Arabidopsis thaliana: one gene and its partners. The protein of the gene in region 2 interacts with the protein of the main gene of each other region in a pairwise test. Each region holds a gene or a part of one and is shown on either strand. Other genes may lie near its edges.

Region 1 (3,845 bases), on a different chromosome or scaffold from region 2:
AACGCACATACTTGACCATCTGTTGTTGAACAATGGAAGGGTACCTACCAATCAAATCAATCTGAAACTTTCCCTTTTCAAAACCAGTAAGTCGATGCAGATCATCCAACAAATTGGATAGTTCGATTTTGCTATCAACTCTGATCCCTCTTGGACTTGACCCTTCATAGAACGGACCATCAGGACCATCTTTAATACAACCATTCCAATAGCAGAACAACGGAATCTTTCTTGTATCCATGAACACCACAAAACCTTCAAATAGAAATAAACCCTAAAGATTAGGTTTTTTTTTGTTGTTGATGCAAAATGCGACATATATGAACTGTGAGTGAGGTTAAAGACTACAAATTTGTACTTAGCACTGTGAAAAATGGTCACTTTGCAGAAGAGAGTTTTTGTAATTTTACCTTTTCTTCCGCCGCCGGCTTCGGTGACTTCGTCGGCAAAAGACAACAGTTTGGTAAAATGGTCTGTTCTTTTTTTTCTCGTAGTTAACGACGGTGTGTCTACGAGATAGTGATTATAAGCTACATATTTGTGGTAAAATAAAATATTGGGAAAGAAAACAAGTCAATGAATATTCCTGACAAAGAAAAAATGAAATGAACAACAACACAATGTTTCTCATCACTCACTAGTAAATAAACTTTAACAAATAACCTTCAAGCTTTAGAATTCCATCTTCAAATTTCAGATAAAGATGATGATAATAAAACCCATAAACATATATAGTACAGACGAAAAAGTTGATATTTTAGACATTTTTATTAAAGTTAAAACAAGAAGAAGAAAGAAACAGACATGAAAACATAAACAGGTGCTGAAGCATACGAATCTTTGTTTAGCCCATGGCATACTTCTGAGTCCAGTTTCTTGCAGTAGCCTCGTATTTGGCTCTGTCGGTTTTGTACATGTGTGCAATCTCTGGTACCAAAGGGTCATCTGGATTTGGATCTGTTAACAGCGAACATATCGAGAGCAACACCTACCAATTGCATAAACATTTCCATTAAAACAGCTAAAAACTAGAGATGATGATCTTACTACATACACAAACATTCAAGAAGCAAAGCTTGTGCATTGAGCAAAATCCTAGCTGAAAATGTAGATGCTCTTGCTATACTTTTGGAACATAAACGAACATTGGAGAACCGATGTTTCTGAAAAATGAGAGTCACCTTGGAAATGGTGAGGGCAGGGCTCCATTGTTCTTTCAAAATGTCAAGGCAAATGCTTCCGTTGCTGTTGATATTAGGGTGAAACACCTTCGTCCTAAATGCAACCTGCAAATAAAAACAAAACAACCAATAAAAGTGTCAAGATTAAGCCAAGAAATTGATTTGATTTGGGGGCAAATACAAGTTTTAATTAGGTCCAAGAATTTCAAGGAACTCTACTAAACCTAAAGTTCGTGGTAATCTAAGAGTTGTTCCAATATTGAATACCTTTGGTGGTTTGAATGGATAGTCCGGAGGGAAGTGAATGGTAACGAGAAACACACCGCCTGAATACGGACTCTCTGCAGGACCCATAATTGTAGCTTGCCAATGAAACATGTCTTCAGCAACTGGACCTGCAAAAACTAAAACATAAGCAAAAAAAACACCACAAACCAAAGAAGGATTCTAGTATTCTACATTTCTCAACTCTTCTAACTCTGATTAGTCTAATAATTAGAGAAAAGTAGAAACTAATAAACTGAAATTCATCATAAAATCTTAAGATAAACATAAGCCAAAACATAAGTAGACAACACCACAACGCAAAGAAGGATTCTACATTTCTCAACTCTGATCAGTCTGAAAAGTAACTTTCACCTTTGTGATCTCTAGAATGCTAAATCTCTGGCATATTACCAGATAATCATAGATAAAGTAATGGATCCAACAAGAAGGAGAAAGATTTGAGATTTTTGAAGTGAACCTGCACTGCAGGAGGTTGGAGGGTCTTTCTGGAGATCCTTCAGCTCCTTCAAGATCCGTTTCGAAGCCATTTTCTCACTGAGAAACCCCTACAAAAAGTAATCCAAGTTAAACCTAGATCAATCCAGCTCAAATCCAGAAACTTTTTCTAATCTGATTGAATCGAACAAGAAGAGACGAGCTTTTTGAATTCCTACAAAAGAAGAGAGCTTTTTCTCGTGTGGGTTAATCAAAAGGAGAAAGCTTTGATACCTCAGAAAGAATCCTCCAAATTTGGTTTTGCGATTCACTCCTGCAGATGATTGGAAGAAAGCAAAACGAAAGAGAAAGTTTTGGTTTTTATGCTTTAAGAAACGGAAGCGAATAATTTAATTGGATAAACTATGATTTATTTTAGTAATAATGGCTGCTTAAGAAATATCTGTAAACATTATAATTTTAAAATACTATCTAATTTTTTTAAGAAATTATAAAGGGTGGGCTATATTTGATTTGACCCCACTTAGATTCCAAATGATTCTGAATCACGATGAATTTTCAATTGTAAAATTGTCCTCTTTGGTACATATTTGATATTTCTCTATTTCTATAGCCAAGTGTAGAGATATGAACGGCTGATTATATTTTTGTAAAAAATAAAAAATGAAACCAGATAACCAATCATAATTAATGAAATTTTATCTAGTTTTTGTGACATGATTATTTTAAATCTCTATCTCAAACTAATGTTTTATGATTCTAATTTATCCATACTAATTACATTTTATCAATAGAATGTAAATTTTATTTTGGAAAAAAAAGAAGTAAAATATCTTTAAATTTTGTAATCTCACAATAGTTGAATGTCATATTATGCGAGTCATCATGTTGTCATAGTGGGATTTGTATTACTGCAAATATCTAATGAACAATAATCAACGAATTAGTTATGGACTAATGAAAAGATAGGATATGCATTAAGATAAACTGGATTTGGTGAAAATTTAATAAGATAACTGGGTTTGGTGAGAGTGCGAGACTATTTGGCTCGGTTCAGTTTTATTCCAATTTCAAAAATTCCAATTTGGCTCGGTATAGTTCGGTTTATATCAGTTTCTATATTTCAATTTGGGTCGGTATAGTTCGGTTTATGTATTCATTCTTTTTGAGATGCGCAACAAGCTCTCACCGTTTCTCCTCCGCCGCTACCACAATTTGCCGTGGCCATGGGAATTCTCAGATGAGAACAATGAGAGCATTAATCGAAAGAGTCTCTCGTCTTACTCTGTGATCAATCTCTCGAATTCTCCTTACCGATAGATGGAGACGGTGTTTGCTTTTTGGGTTGTTTTCCGGTGATCGCATCTTCAATCAGTGGTGGTAATGGAATGGAGAAAGTTTCATCACGGAGATATGCTTATCTGGAAACTCTTACTCATGAGATTAAGATGAAGTTTACACGGGTTTGCCTTTCTTTTTAGTATTTTTTTCGCAAAAGATCGATTTGTGTCGATTGGTTTTGATTTTGCCCAGAAAACACTATTTGATTTCTCTAATTCGAGACACATGCGTTAGGTTATCGAATTTTGATATCCTCAATGAATACTTTTGTTTCAATTTTGAATCGTTACGGTTTCCGATTAAAATCATCTTTATCATGCAATCCACAGGTTGAGATTGTACCTGGTCTCTTGCTTTTTAATCGGAAACTATGAATTATGAATTCCAGAACAAACACACTGGGCTGATTTGGAGGTAGACGAAAAAGAAGAAGCATGTTGGGCCTTGGGCCTCTTAAGCAGGTACAATGAAAGCCCAGCCCAGCCCAAACCAAAACATTTCCTTTGATTGTTTTCTATAAATAAAACGTAGCTTAGGGTTATTTACTTTACAACGTATTGCTTGCGCTCAACGGACTCTTCCCGGAAAGAAGACATAAAC
Region 2 (5,091 bases):
AGGTAGAGGATATCAGAACCAATTTCATCAAGAGTTTTATATTTGACGTCTTCATTTTTGATAATTACAACAAATTTATATAGCGCTTAGGGTTTCACTATCGAAATAGATGTTTGTTTGAGCAAAAAAAAAAAGCAAATCGTGGGAGACAAGAAGAAAAAGAAGCAAACGGGTCGGAGCTATGTCCGGACTTGCTGCGATGTGTTTTCAAACGATTGAGTTTGATATCTCTTAATCGAGCTAAATCGGTAGTGGCACTCTGCTTCGAGAGGCTGCGGCCCTGACCAAAATCAGATTCCATGGCTGATTCTCTTCTCTCCCAAGGAGGAATCCAACAAACACAGTAGTAGTTGTGTGTTGTACGTTCCGGAGGATCAAGACAACGTTTACAGAAGTAGAGAACTTGGTGTTGACTTTCCCCAGAGACCAGAGTCGTTGTCTGACGACTTGTGGTAGCTGGCTCTTGTTGTTGAAACCTCTTAGTATGGATCTCCTTTAGCTGGTGAGAGGATTGATCTACCCGATAGCAATAAGCCATATTTAAGGAGTTACTTAAGATACGACCGAGCTTGTTTTCGGATGGACAATAAAACCAAAGATTACCTAGTTGTAATGTTGGAGTACGACTTTCGTGTGTTTACCAAGAAAGGAGATAACAAGTGGCACGACTTTCCCTTGGAGTGTTTTGAAGACTTTGTCTACACTCATCAAAAGCTCTACCTTCGTTATGCCCATTCTCTTGTCACTATTTGGACCCTTGATTGGTATTCTGTCTCTTGATTGGTATTCGTTCAATCATCACGATTTTGACCCTTTTCTTCAGCAAAAAGATCAAAAACTCTATTGGAAATTGATACGCCGCTCCAGGACACGCATTGCAGTCACAGTATCCGGAGAGTTTTTGGTGGTATCAAGTATAGTACAAGACAGCAAAACATTATATTTTCACATCTAGAAGAAAAACCAAGTGGGTGGCAAATTGGTGAAAGTCGATTCTTTGGGCGATGAAGCATTGATCTATGACATGGGTATCACTGTTGTCCCCAGTGGCGTCCCAGGGATCAAAAGGAACTCTATCTACTTCAGTGGCGTCCAAATATTTGTGTATGATCTCACCACCCAAAAGATGGAACCTATGCCTCAATGTGTTTTCTCCTCCATACCATTCTCTGATGCTCGTTGATTCTTCCCCTGCTAGTCGTCTACCTGCGCAACAGCAGGACAGATCGCCTCTGTTACTTTTAATGTTTTAAGCTTTATATGTGCTTTAAACTTGTTTTATTTGTCTCTTTTTGCTTTCAATTCTAAATCTTTGATGATACATTATTATTTCTTCATCTGTTGTTGAGAGTTCAGTCTCACAATTCTCTGCCAACAGAGAACAACAGTCTACTTAATTCATCTCTACCGATGATTTGGAGATATTTCTAGTTTTAGTCTCACAATACTAATATTCTGGAACTCTTCTATGATAAAGAGGGTTTCAGGTCCATTTTGTTCCCAATGCAGAGGAACTGAGAAATAGAGCTAAAACAGAGACTCCATTAAGAGGAACTGAATCACCAGTACCTTGATTTATTGATGATCTCTTTCAATCTTGCAACAAGCTAGAGTAGAGCTTTGATTTATACTATTTTTTTTTATTATAAAAAAAAATGGTTCAATACTCTTTAATTCTGTATCTGTATTAGTAAACAATCTATACTAACCACAAGAAAGACCAAACTTAAGGACCAGAAATCTGATGAGTCTCTCTTGAGATTTTGCTACTCTCTTACATGACTGAACAGACGCATTTGTTCATCTTCGGGTCACCTTTAGGCTTCTTTTCTGTTTCAAACACAACACCATCTCTCTGTCAGGAGGTCCACAACAGATTTTGATCCTACACTAGAGGCTGCTGTCTCTTTGAATATGAAGGAGCTAAGAAAACAAGAGAATAATCTAAAGAATGTTTTACCTTTTTCCGTAACCGGAGCTTGGATGATAACGTGCATTGTGGTGACAGCGCCTGCGAGATTAGAGACAGGACTTCGGTAGTCTTTAACCGTCTTGCTGTTCTCCAATACCTTCCCTGCGCTTATCAACTTCACCTCTTTCACTGTTTTCGGCCCATTCTCCTTCTCTATCATTAGTCAAACACAAGAGAACAAAATGACAAGTAGTATGATCAGTACAAAGAGTTGAACACAGGTTCATGTTAGGCTCACCGATAACAGAACAAGTAAGCAATCACAGGAACAGGTACAACTCTACGGATGGTGAGTAACATTGTGCGAATTGATCTACTCAAAAAATTTGTGAAGTTTCTTTTGCATAAGATATAGTATTGGGACATGATTTTCATAACTAGCAAAACCATTGTTCCAAGAAGATTCAAGCCTTTACAATCTCAAAACACAGTGCCTAAGGATATTACAATTTATTAGCCATAAGAGTAAATAAGCATAAAAAAAAACTGACCTCTTGGCCATTCAGAAATAACAGTTTCCTTCAAAGCCGAAACAGTTGTAGCATCAGGGAATGCTTTAGGACCGATATCCGAACCATCGGTTAACCGAAACTTGATCTCTAGTTGATTATGGACTTCTGCCATTTATCCAAGAAGCAACCAACCAACAAACAATCCACAGAACCACAAGAAAATCTCAAAAGACACCACAGCACTAGACAGTTTCTCTATGTATCAAATTCCACAGAGGATCTTGTTTGCTATTTATTCTATCTGCAAAGAGCCAAAAAAGGAACAATTTTTTTCTTCAATAAGTGTGATTGTGAAGATGAACAAGAAACCTGAGAATCTATATATATAATGGTTTAAAGCAATGATGATGATCTTGTAATCAGAGAATAAATGAATCGGCATGCAAAACAGCAATAAACAGAGGATTCTGAAAAGAGATACACATGTAAAAGATAGATAGATTGCATATAAATGTTAAAAGATGAGAGAAATTAAAGAAGAAGAAAAGAGATCTAAACATGAATGCACAATTAAACAGGGGAATATCCAAAAAAAGGAGGAAACTTTAAAACGAGGAATCTCCAGCCAGATTTGAAAGGAAGCCGGAAAAAGAAAAGCCCTAATTAGGTCTCTCTCTCGCAGGTGTAATCAAAATCTTACTTGGTGACTGATCTGAGCCGATGAATCAAGAACACGCATCAGACAGAGAGGAGAGAGAAGAAATACAAGAAGAAGAGATCTCGTGAGTGTTCAATGGCGGTCAAAGTTTCCATTTTTCTCTCATTTTCTTCCCATATATGCGCCTATCTCTCTCTCTCTCTCGATTCCTTATTTTTGTTCTTCGTGTAAATTCGACAATTTGATATTGATATCACTACTTGGAAACAACGCACTACTTACTTAATCCAGAAACAAATTTTAATTTTTTATTTTATTTCTGTTCCCAGAAATTCTTTATGCAAGTAATAATAGTTAGTTAGTTACTTGCATGTAAAAAGCTTTTGCTTCTTTGTGGGACAAATCACAGCAAAATTAAACTAAAAAGATTACCTTTTGCATGACATATATATCATTTTAACTTTATTTTGTAATATCTGTCATTCACATAAAGAATACAATAACTTTTAATTTATCCATCAACAATCATTATTATCTATTTTTGGTTCCAAATAATTCTTGAAACACTTTTTATTTTAATTAGTTATTTACTTGCATGTAAAAAGCTTTTGCTTTTGTGGGACAAATCACTGCAATTAAACTAAAAAGATTACTTTTTTCATGACATATCAGCAATCATTAATTAATTTATCCCCACCAAGTTTACAAATAATTGGCAAGTATTTTTTGGGGTCAAATGGTAAGATTCTTACAAAAGACATTAAATTAATATTAAAAAGTGTGGTATTTACAGTACTAAATAGTGAATATTGTCATAAACACATATTTTCGTTAGATATCTTATCTAAAATAACATCAAACGGAGAGAGATAGGAGAGGACAGAGGAGGAGATAAGCACATTGCATCTGACCAAAAATCTTCTGCACCAAGAAAAGTCTTATGATTGATCAATTAGAGACCTTAACAAAACAATAATGTCCATATAAAATCCCTAAAACTAAATCATTTAGTAAAAAATATGTGGAATTTTAACTGTCAAAAATCGAACCAAAAAAATAAAAAGAGTACAAGTGGAGCAAATGCAACAGTGTGTTGTTGGTCCTTGGACTGTTGTGATCATGACCAAAATCCAATTTCTTCTGGTGATGTCCTTAAACCTTCCTTGTTCTTATAACAGATCCAAAATTGGAATCTTTACTTCAAAACCAAAAAGAATCTCAAAAAGGGTACCTTCTATTTTTACAGAAGAATGAATCTTTATTTCTATCTTTCTCTTTCTCTGCTGCTCTGCAACTGGTCTTTCATGGTCCAGCTAAATTCCGAGTAAATCTGCAGAACCCGCAAAATCCCCAGTCTGCTTCGAGATTATATGCAAGCTTTCTGTTTGCTATTCCAAGATATGACAATTCTTAATGAAATCATTGGAGTAGTTAACATATTTTGTCCAGAATGGTCTGAGATGCTCGAAACCTATCTCAAGCCACGGCTTTGATTGGCCATTGTAATGAATCACTGCAGCTTTCTTCGCATTTTCTAAGTTGGTCTTGCTCTGATAACCTAATCCAAGCATATGCCAAGAGGAATCTATTGGCTGAACATGACCTTTAAATGCTATTAGAGCAGGAGGCAATGTTCCAAGTTTCCACATTGTTAGATTCGACTTCAGATTCTGCACATCAAAGCAAAACCAGTAAGCATGATCAATAATTTGCCAATTTCGAATCTAAAACTCAAAACATTACAGGCTTCTCTGATACTTTACCTCTTTAAGCCAAGAATGATACGTTTCTCTGATATTTGTCTTCCTCCAAGTCCGTAGATCAAAGATATTCATTCCATAAGCCCAAGCACATTCTTCGGGATCTAAATGCTTTGCGATGAGCGGGTGAGAAAAATTGAAGTAGTTCCTAAGACGCTTTGACATAACCCATACGTCTTCTCCTCGACAAGTCTCCACAGCTCCATTAACCTTCCCGTTAAGGTCAATATCCCAAAGCGGAGATAAATC
Region 3 (4,320 bases), on a different chromosome or scaffold from region 2:
TAGTGAAAACACACATTTAAAAACTTATTCGAATGGACTTGGAAGCCTCGGTAAACCCAAAACTCAAAATATATAGAAATACAAGTGTTGGAGTTTCGAGAAAGAAAATAAACTTTGATTTGAATCTTAAGATAAAGAGTTTTAAAGATTAACATGAATTGATCAAGCGTCCACTAGCACTTTCATTAAGCAAAATATGCATTCATAACATTTTTTTTTTATAAATCGTCAACAAACTAACGTGAAATTATAAAATCATAACCTTAATCTCAACATAATAAGCCCTGATTACTGCTTTAAACCTCGCCAACCTCATAAGCTCCCAACCTTAACAACAACATGTGTCCATCGAAGAGGAATCTAATTCGTGGGATAAACATTATGTTAAAATATACTATACTCCATCACTGAAACAGAACCTTGAACACAAAAGTGTCATAATAGTTGGGTTATACCATAAAAAAGTAACCGTTTTTTCAAGGTCTTTATACCATAATGTTTAGTAGCACTAATGGCTAAACCCGTTTGAGTATATTATTTGGGGAAAAGGTGATTTTAATAGTTTTACTATTTTTTGTAAATCTTAAATTGGTCAAACTTCAAAGTGATAATTCCTTTGTCCCATTTTATTAAATTGTTCCAGATGGATCACAATCACAATCTTAACTCATGAACAACTTCACTCTTAGGCCCCATACACCATTTACATAAATCATTGCCCACATAATACTAAAATGAAAATGTTACGTATGTAAGTTAATAATGTTTACGAAAACGGAAAGGCTTACGATTGTAGCTAGTTTGGGCTTTGGACAGAATAAAATCCAAAATAATATGAGCCTTGATAAACACAGAGACGCATCGGCATCACGCAATAAAGAAACAGCAGACGGGATGATGATTTACGTTTTACAATTCCATAGAATGGAGATCAAATAATTTCTTACTGATCCTGTCTTCACAAATTTTATAAGACAGACAAGTCTATAAAAGATCATTACATAGAAATAAGAAGAGTTTAATTATTAGGGCTCTTCCTTAAGGACAGTATTTGTGTCAGCCCATGGCATACTTTTGGGTCCAGGTCCGAGCAGTGGACTCGTACTTGTTCTTGTCTGTCTTGTACATGTGAGCTATCTCAGGGACCAAAGGATCATCTGGGTTTGGATCCGTTAACAAAGAACAGATCGATAGCAGCACCTGTTGCACCACACAAAATTGATGTCACCTGGAGAGCAAAGCTGCAAAATTATGGTTCTAATATGATAAAGATGAGGAAGAACAAAAGAAAACCTTGGAAATTGTGAGAGCAGGACTCCACTGCTCCTTCAAGATGTCGAGGCAGATGCTTCCATTGCTGTTAATGTTTGGATGGAACACCTTCGTCCTAAAAGCCACCTACATTTTTTGTAACAACATACATAGAGAGCAATGAAATCAAGAACACAGAGAAAAGAACAATAGATAAACGATGGAAGATATTAGCAACAGAAAAATGATGGCCGAAGTAAAGTTGGAAAAAAAATTCAAAGAAGAAGAAGCAGCTGTAGAGATTTGAATATACCTTAGGAGGCTTAAATGGGTAATCTGGAGGGAAATGGATGGTTACAAGAAAAACTCCTCCAGAATAAGGGCTATCCGATGGACCCATTATAGTGGCCTGCCAATGAAACATGTCTTCCGCAACGGGTCCTGTCAACATTTAACCAAAACTTCAATACCAAACCAGAAAAGCAACAACATGCATATAAGAAGAAGTTGGTAAAAGGGGCAAAATTAGAAGAGAACAACAGAGTTATAATCCTAAGATCTCATCCAAGGAAATCAAAAAATGAAACCAGATCTATCAACGAGCAAACAAGTTTGAACATTGACCTTTATGATTCATTCCTAGAAAAATCACAAACAAGTGTTACCATGAAGTATGCAAATTTCTGTTATTAGCAGCTGAATTACCTAAAAATCAAGGATAATTAGATCTAAGCTAACGAGAGATCAATATCAAACCGTCGCACACATAAAAAACCAGCTCAAAAGAAGATCAAAACCAACGACCCATCATTATCCAGCAAGAGGAACATAATTATTGAATCAAAGTTGATAAATCGACTAAAAGAATAGGTACCTGCGCTACATGAAGTAGGAGGATCCTTCTGCAGATCCTTCAATTCCTTCAAAATCCGTTTCGATGCCATTTCCAAAATCCCACGATCCAAATTCCAATTGAAGACTCTGCAATCGAAAACCAATCCAATGGTCAGATGAATTAAGAAGAAGAAAAACATAACCCAGAAAATTATATATAAAGACGGGAAGAAGATCCAAAATCATAACTCCGAATTCACGTTTTTGGTTTTGGTTCTTCGAATTTAGGAGAAGAAAGGGTGGTGAAACGGAAGAGAAGAAGAAGTTGAAAATGTTGTGTGGTCGCGACCACAATAAATAGGGTGCGGGTAAATTCTGGTTCGTTTGATTAGTGGACTCTGCTGCTTTATTCTTTCAGATTCGTTCGTTTTAAATAATGTCAAACTTTTTTTTGGGTGGGCCTAACTCAGCGTTGTACCTACGGCACATATAAAATAACGCGGTTGTTCGTATCATCATCATGTGGCGCCGATGTTTTCCAATCCCGTCGAAGCGTCGTCGTTTAAGTGGTTTAGTCAAAAGTCGTATGATCCGACGGCTGAGAGTTTTGTAGAACGAATCATTTGACGTAATTTGAATGAATTTACCATGCTTTCAAGATTGACCAGCGGTTGATGAAGGATGTTTTTTTTCAAAAACGTGATGTGTAGGAAATTATTACATTGTTTTTACTGTCATATGTCATATGTGACAAGACGATTCGTTTTGGTGACAAAGTATAAAGATGGAGGATGAATTAACATAACAGTGACATTAAGATATATTCGACAAATTAGATGTTAAGCTAGACATTATTTCCACGAAATATGATCTAACTTGTTAAGACAAATTGTGAAGGTTGCGGTTGGTGTGACTAAGTTTGCCTATAACTCAAATAGTTTTTACTTGAATTGAATCAAACAATACTATAATAACTAAATCTAACGAAAGAATAAGCCAAAGTGATTATAGTTTTTATATTTTTGCTGAAATGAAGAAGTAATTTATCATGATCAGTAAAAAGAATGGTATGCAACTAAAATTTACCAAAATAATTAAGATTTTCGCTAATTTATTATTATTAGCACTGCTATAGTGTTGTACATGAGAAGTTAATTAACAAAGATCATGAATTTTCATCACATTTTTTTTTTTTGTTAATTTGAATTCTGAACCGTGGAACTATCTACATTTACTAAAGGAGGAGATTCTAAATCTATTTGATTATCTTCCGGATCCAAAATCTTGGGACATCTCTCATTATTTCCATAACTTTCTTTTGTGAGATGTTTGAACCATCTCTTCTGCTTCGGTTGTTCTGCACTTATGGCAATGACAACGTCATTGGGGAAGAGATCACGTTGGACAAAAGCATGCATCACCGTCAACCCAAGCACAGCTATCACCGTCAGAGTTGCTGCTCCCGACATCACAACCGATAGTATCTTCGTTGCCACTCCCGTGACTTCGTCTGAATATTTGATCGTCGCACTGGCCACTGCCGTCATTGGAAACGTGTAAGCCCACCAAGCTAGCGAGAATCTGATATTTTTTGAATAATTATGTCAGATAACATGTATGTTATTTGGTTTGGTAAATTAGATCCTTGCAGTTCAAGAAACAGCTTACTTGAATCCCCGGAAAAGGTTAATCCGACAAACCTGAAACAAGAATCACAAGAAGTAAAGCTGTTACATTTCTTGTACCACAAGAAACTCAGCACTAGCTCACTAGAACTCTGTTAATGAAAACAAAAACTACCAGAGAGAAGTACAAGAACAAGGAGATGAAGTATGCTAGACGCGAACCGAGATCGAAAGAGGCAGAGATCTTGGTCCAGGCCATGGAAGCGACGGCTGGTGCAGCCACAAAGAGGAAGAAAACAGGGTGAAGCTCTTTAGGTAAGGTTTCATTCGTGGGAAGTCTCTGATAGAGAGTCACAAATAAAACCAAATAATAAGCCAACCCTATGGCAAAGAAGAATATTGGTCCTTCTTTCAACCCCATGGATGCTCCTAGAAGTGCTCCTGCAAAGTTACCGACAATGGAAAGGTGGTTTGTAGGGTTGGCGACTTTGGAGAGGCGTCTTTGTCCACCAGACATCCACTGTCCGTAAATCTTCATCTCAAGAAACAAGATGGGAGCCATAAGGAAGTACCAAAGTGTAGAGGGAAGATGTGAGATGATAGAGTGTGG
Region 4 (4,663 bases), on a different chromosome or scaffold from region 2:
AAAAACATGGAACACTGATTTTTATTTTATTTCTTTCAGTCGACACCAATTGTTTGAATTTTGCGTTTGAATGTCTAGAGTTCTTAGCCTACAAGTTTCATGGATATCTAAATCAAACCTATAGTCCCTATGATTTCTTATTTTGTTAAACTTAAAGCAGATGTTTAATTTGGTCTTTTGCTCTTAACTAGAGTAAGTTTTGCCTGTTGGTTATCATTTCTAAGTTCAAACTGATACTCTTCTAATACACTGATCCGTGGGATAATGATAAATTTTGAAAAAAAGATAGTAACATACTGTATTTTCTTATAGAGAAGAGAAATTCAAAAATATTCTAATAGCACAACACTATTAAATGTATTTTTCTCTTACCTGTGGACTTGTAAAGATAATTTGTTAGGGGTGATACTTTAAGCTCGGACGAGCGATGGATCTTTGGTCCATCGAAGCCCATCTACATAACTTGAGTTCAGTCCATACCCATTCATCTATAGATTATCTGTAGTATTAGATTCTATACCACTCTTTTTTTTTTTTCTGTTGATTCTATACCACTCACATTCCACATAATCAGGCTATTTATTATTTTATTAAATACTGTATTGTCAAATAATTTGACTTCACCAAATAACATGTTTTCGTCAAACTCATGATATGATGGATGATACGAATAAGAAAACTGTTATAACTTATAAACAAAATAGGGTGTTTAGTGGTTTTGTACTAGTGAATCATTGCTGAGTTACTACTTGAGTTCAAACATGCATAATACATGTCGTTTAATGGATATAGGATTGTTTGTGATATTATTGCATACTTAAAATGTTTGTTGCATCACGTATGTAGTCCACAATCCACAGGCGCACCTTGCAAGGTACAAAACTCATTTTCTACAACATACGTGCTACAACAGAACGCATTGTCACCATGACGGGCATTGGCCACAACGATTAACTCAGAGTAAATTTGAAGACCAGTTGGATAAGTTTGAAGACCAGTTGGATAAGTTTGAAGACTAGTTTGATAAATTTGAACAACTCGTAGCAACTCATCACACAACGAAAACATCAAATCATAATTTCACCACAAGAAGAAACAACAGAAGATGATCAGATTCTAGTTTTCACAAAGATGATGTTTTTTTTTGTTTCGTTTAAAACAAGACCCACTTCATTTGGTCCTGTCTTCAGAAAGTTAAAAGGACACAAAGAGATGTCTATCGAATCATACATAGAAATTAAGGCAGATTTTTTTCTTCATAAAGAGATAATTTAGTAGGTGGGATTTTCCATTTAGCCCATGGCATACTTCTGAGTCCAGCTTCGTGCAGTGGACTCGTACTTGTTCTTGTCAGTCTTGTACATGTGAGCTATCTCGGGCACCAAAGGATCATCCGGGTTTGGATCGGTTAACAAAGAACAGATCGATAGCAGCACCTGTTAATTGCAAAGCAGTTGTTAGAACTGATCGATAACAAACAACAATTTTTCATCCTCAATGAGTCTAATAAGCTTAATGTTTCAGAGACAACCGAAATGAGTCAAAGTTTAATGAAGACAGCTCAATCTTATCACTTCAACTAGGGATTAAGGAGCAAAAGCATGTTTGATAAGAGTAGATTACTGCCTCTGAAGCAGTTTTAATAGAGAGTATTTGTTTTAAGGTGGGTTTCTATTGTTAACAAAAGAATAAGAGAAACCGAACCTTGGAAATGGTGAGCGCAGGACTCCACTGCTCCTTCAAGATGTCGAGGCAAATGCTACCGTTGCTGTTAATGTTGGGATGGAACACCTTGGTCCTAAAGGCCACCTAGATATCATCACACACACCATAATGAAGAACAATGAGATAATGAAGCAACCATAAAGAACATACGAGCTTTGGCAAAACATACTTGATAACAATTCTCAAAATATTGGAATCACCTTAGGAGGCTTGAATGGGTAATCCGGAGGGAAATGGATGGTTACAAGGAAAACACCTCCAGCATAAGGACTCTCTGAAGGACCCATTATCGTTGCCTGCCAGTGAAACATGTCTTCAGCAACAGGACCTGTACACAGAAAGATAAACTCAATCTCACACCACATAAGCACAAGGAAACAAAGAGACAGTTTTTTCTTCACAAGTATAACCAGACCCCAGAAACTAAGACAATGAAACGAGTTTTAAGCCTTTATAAGATCTTCACCAGAGAAATCAGAAACGAGATAAACCAAATTTAGTTCTAGCCAGATCTTAAAAAGTAAAACGAGTACTTAGCTCGAGATCGGTACCAAACAACACATAAACACACAAATCCAAACAAATCCAAGCATAAGCGAACAAAAAAACCGGATCTATCAACACCAGCTCAGGGAAACAAAACTTTTTAAGATGAAATCTCAAAATCCAAACACGAAACAAGTACCTGCGCTACATGATGTAGGTGGATCCTTCTGGAGATCCTTCAATTCCTTCAAGATCCGCTTCGACGCCATATCCAAAAACCTAAAAATCAAAAATCAAACAAAGATTCTAAACGAATCAGAGAAGCTATAAATCCGTGAGAAATATAAGTAATAGATCCAAAAGCTACAGAGACAATACCTTTGATTTTTCGCGTAATCGGATTGGCGAGGTTTTCGCCTTTTTCTTCTCGTATTAGAGAGAAGAAGAACCAAGACTTAGGGGAAAGGAAGAAAATAGAGATGGTGGTGGACGAAAGACGAAGAATACGAATTATTCTCTGTGCTCACGTCTACAATAAATACCGTGTGGATTATTTACTTTCTTTGACTAGTGGACTCTACTTTTAACCCTCTTATTATTCGGTGGACCTTGAAACGACGCGGCGCTTCTTAATTAAAACATCAAGTTGCATTGAAACGACATCGTCTTAAAAAGTCATCTAATCTAACGGTTGATATCCTATCCTTAAATCAAGTGGTATTGAAATCTAACGGCTGCGAGTTTATTATAAATTTCAAATCAAGTGGCATCGAAACGCGTTGCGATGAAGTCATATAATCTAACGGCTGAGATTTGTATCTTTTAATCGATCGAATCATTTGAAGCCACGTCTTCTCTCTCACTTTGGAGATTTTTCTAACGCAGAATCTGAGAATAAGCTAACCGATTCCGATTTCGAGTTCGTCGCCGGGAGGAATGAACCGGTTGAAGGAGCAAAAGGGGCCGAAGTTCGACGGCGAAGAATCACCTCCACCTGATTTTGATGAAGATCGAAGTGTGGGTGAGGTAGACGGAGGAGATCACACGCCATTCGCTGGAGGTAAAGTCAGAAGGAAAGCGTCTCGCTATAGAGAGCATCGTGGTGACTATCTTCACGTTTCTTCTCGTCCTGGATTGATGCGAATTCTGGAGAAACAAGGTTAGGTTTCTCCAAACTTTTGGTTTTTATTTGATGAATTTGAGATTGAGAGGCAATTTGTGAATCGAAGAACTTGGAGGAATAGTTGAATCAGCTGTAGAATTGTGGCATCGATTTATAGTTTCTTATGTGGTTGTTTGGATTGCTAATGATTGGATTCACCTTGAATTGCATGTGTTTGATGTTGAGAAGGTGATTCATTGTTGTTATAGGTGATACATCGATTCTTTTTGCTGATAAAGTTTTGAAGTTCACCGGCTCGGGGAAGATGAAACGGCGTATTTTTATCCTCACTGATTTTGCGATCTATCTAATTGATCCCGAGACTGAAGCTATGACCAGGAGAATTGCTTTGTCATCAGTAGAGAAGATGTGTTTAAGCAAATTGAGTGATAACTTCTTCGCTATCATTATTCCCACGGAATATGATCTCTTCATGGCCAGCACTAGGAAGACTGAGCTTGTTCAGGTCATGGTAGATGTCACTAAAAGTGCTTCTGACTATGAACTTGAAGTGCTTCTCTCTAACAGGTAACTATGACCGCAATTTTTGGTTTTTGATGTCTCCTCTTTGAATGCTAATACCATGCACATGAGAATTGTTTATTTTCATCTCATTTCCTGATATTGACACTACAGGTATTGTGTTACTGAGAACTGATGTGGGTCTTTTTAGTCTCTGAAACTTAGTGAGCTCTGTTTCTTAAGTGACTTGGCTATTAGTTAGTGGTGAGACCAGAGGATCCACTTGTACCTATTAATCATATCTATATTTATGGAAGAAGATAAAGAATTAACACTTTTAGGAGATAACTACTGAAATTAGTACGTTGAGATACAAATGGTTACAACTATATTTTAAATACTGTTAGATGACATATTCTAGTTTTGATTGAAACTGTTCTCAAATGGCAATCACGATAATAGTCCGTAGAAACATTTTGTATATCTCCCATATCGTAAAACTCAGCTATTGGTTTATATGTGCAGTTTGTGTTTTATACTGATAATGGTTTCTCCTTGTGTTCATTCCAGATTTGAGTACAATGCATCTGCCTCATTAGTAAAGGAAGTTTCTTTTGAGGAATCTGAAGGTTTGTATGAATAAGATTCTGGATATTGTGATTCAATCTAAGTTTGTGGTTAGTTTATTTGCTCATCAAGCTCTACCACTATTTTTCAGGGGGTATCAAGACCAAATTTGTGTGGAAGTGACTACATCTCAACTTTCCTCGCTGTTCATAAACTTTGGAGGGACCACTAGTAAGATCTGTTTCGACTTTCGAATGTCTT

What was found.
Region 1: the proteins of MUB1 (region 2) and UBC8 interact in a two-hybrid assay, tested with the Arabidopsis thaliana proteins (one study listed by BioGRID).
Region 3: the proteins of MUB1 (region 2) and UBC9 interact in a two-hybrid assay, tested with the Arabidopsis thaliana proteins (one study listed by BioGRID).
Region 4: the proteins of MUB1 (region 2) and UBC10 interact in a two-hybrid assay, tested with the Arabidopsis thaliana proteins (one study listed by BioGRID).

The regions. Positions count from the first base shown.
Region 1 is NC_003076.8:16,674,223-16,678,067, reverse strand, and holds UBC8 (ubiquitin conjugating enzyme 8), read right to left. Parts: upstream 2,227-3,845; 5' UTR 2,178-2,226; exon of another isoform or gene 2,015-2,177; 5' UTR 1,997-2,014; coding exon 1,933-1,996; coding exon of another isoform or gene 1,927-1,932; intron 1,586-1,926; coding exon 1,449-1,585; intron 1,287-1,448; coding exon 1,182-1,286; coding exon of another isoform or gene 1,047-1,181; exon of another isoform or gene 989-1,046; coding exon 845-988; 3' UTR 559-844; downstream 1-558. UniProt on the Arabidopsis thaliana protein: Accepts the ubiquitin from the E1 complex and catalyzes its covalent attachment to other proteins. Mediates the selective degradation of short-lived and abnormal proteins.
Region 2 is NC_003074.8:11,359-16,449, reverse strand, and holds MUB1 (membrane-anchored ubiquitin-fold protein 1 precursor), read right to left. Parts: upstream 3,221-5,091; 5' UTR 3,125-3,220; intron 2,992-3,124; exon of another isoform or gene 2,726-2,991; 5' UTR 2,597-2,725; coding exon 2,464-2,596; intron 2,126-2,463; coding exon 1,961-2,125; intron 1,831-1,960; coding exon 1,779-1,830; coding exon of another isoform or gene 1,775-1,778; exon of another isoform or gene 1,523-1,774; intron 1,207-1,522; coding exon 1,203-1,206; 3' UTR 544-1,202; downstream 1-543. Other genes in the region: GAUT13 (galacturonosyltransferase 13), read right to left, coding at 4,471-4,752, 4,846-5,091. UniProt on the Arabidopsis thaliana protein: May serve as docking site to facilitate the association of other proteins to the plasma membrane.
Region 3 is NC_003075.7:13,915,009-13,919,328, forward strand, and holds UBC9 (ubiquitin conjugating enzyme 9), read right to left. Parts: upstream 2,493-4,320; 5' UTR 2,286-2,492; coding exon 2,126-2,285; intron 1,693-2,125; coding exon 1,565-1,692; intron 1,399-1,564; coding exon 1,294-1,398; intron 1,201-1,293; coding exon 1,057-1,200; 3' UTR 523-1,056; downstream 1-522. Other genes in the region: SLAH2 (SLAC1 homologue 2), read right to left, coding at 3,282-3,666, 3,754-3,785, 3,886-4,320. UniProt on the Arabidopsis thaliana protein: Accepts the ubiquitin-like protein SUMO/SMT3 from the E1 complex and catalyzes its covalent attachment to other proteins. Mediates the selective degradation of short-lived and abnormal proteins.
Region 4 is NC_003076.8:21,631,510-21,636,172, forward strand, and holds UBC10 (ubiquitin-conjugating enzyme 10), read right to left. Parts: upstream 2,739-4,663; 5' UTR 2,590-2,738; intron 2,518-2,589; exon of another isoform or gene 2,491-2,517; 5' UTR 2,481-2,490; coding exon 2,411-2,480; intron 2,054-2,410; coding exon 1,926-2,053; intron 1,810-1,925; coding exon 1,705-1,809; coding exon of another isoform or gene 1,678-1,704; exon of another isoform or gene 1,437-1,677; coding exon 1,293-1,436; 3' UTR 1,058-1,292; exon of another isoform or gene 939-1,057; intron 538-938; 3' UTR 512-537; downstream 1-511. Other genes in the region: AT5G53310 (myosin heavy chain-like protein), read left to right, coding at 3,148-3,370, 3,583-3,901, 4,406-4,464, 4,554-4,585. UniProt on the Arabidopsis thaliana protein: Accepts the ubiquitin from the E1 complex and catalyzes its covalent attachment to other proteins. Mediates the selective degradation of short-lived and abnormal proteins.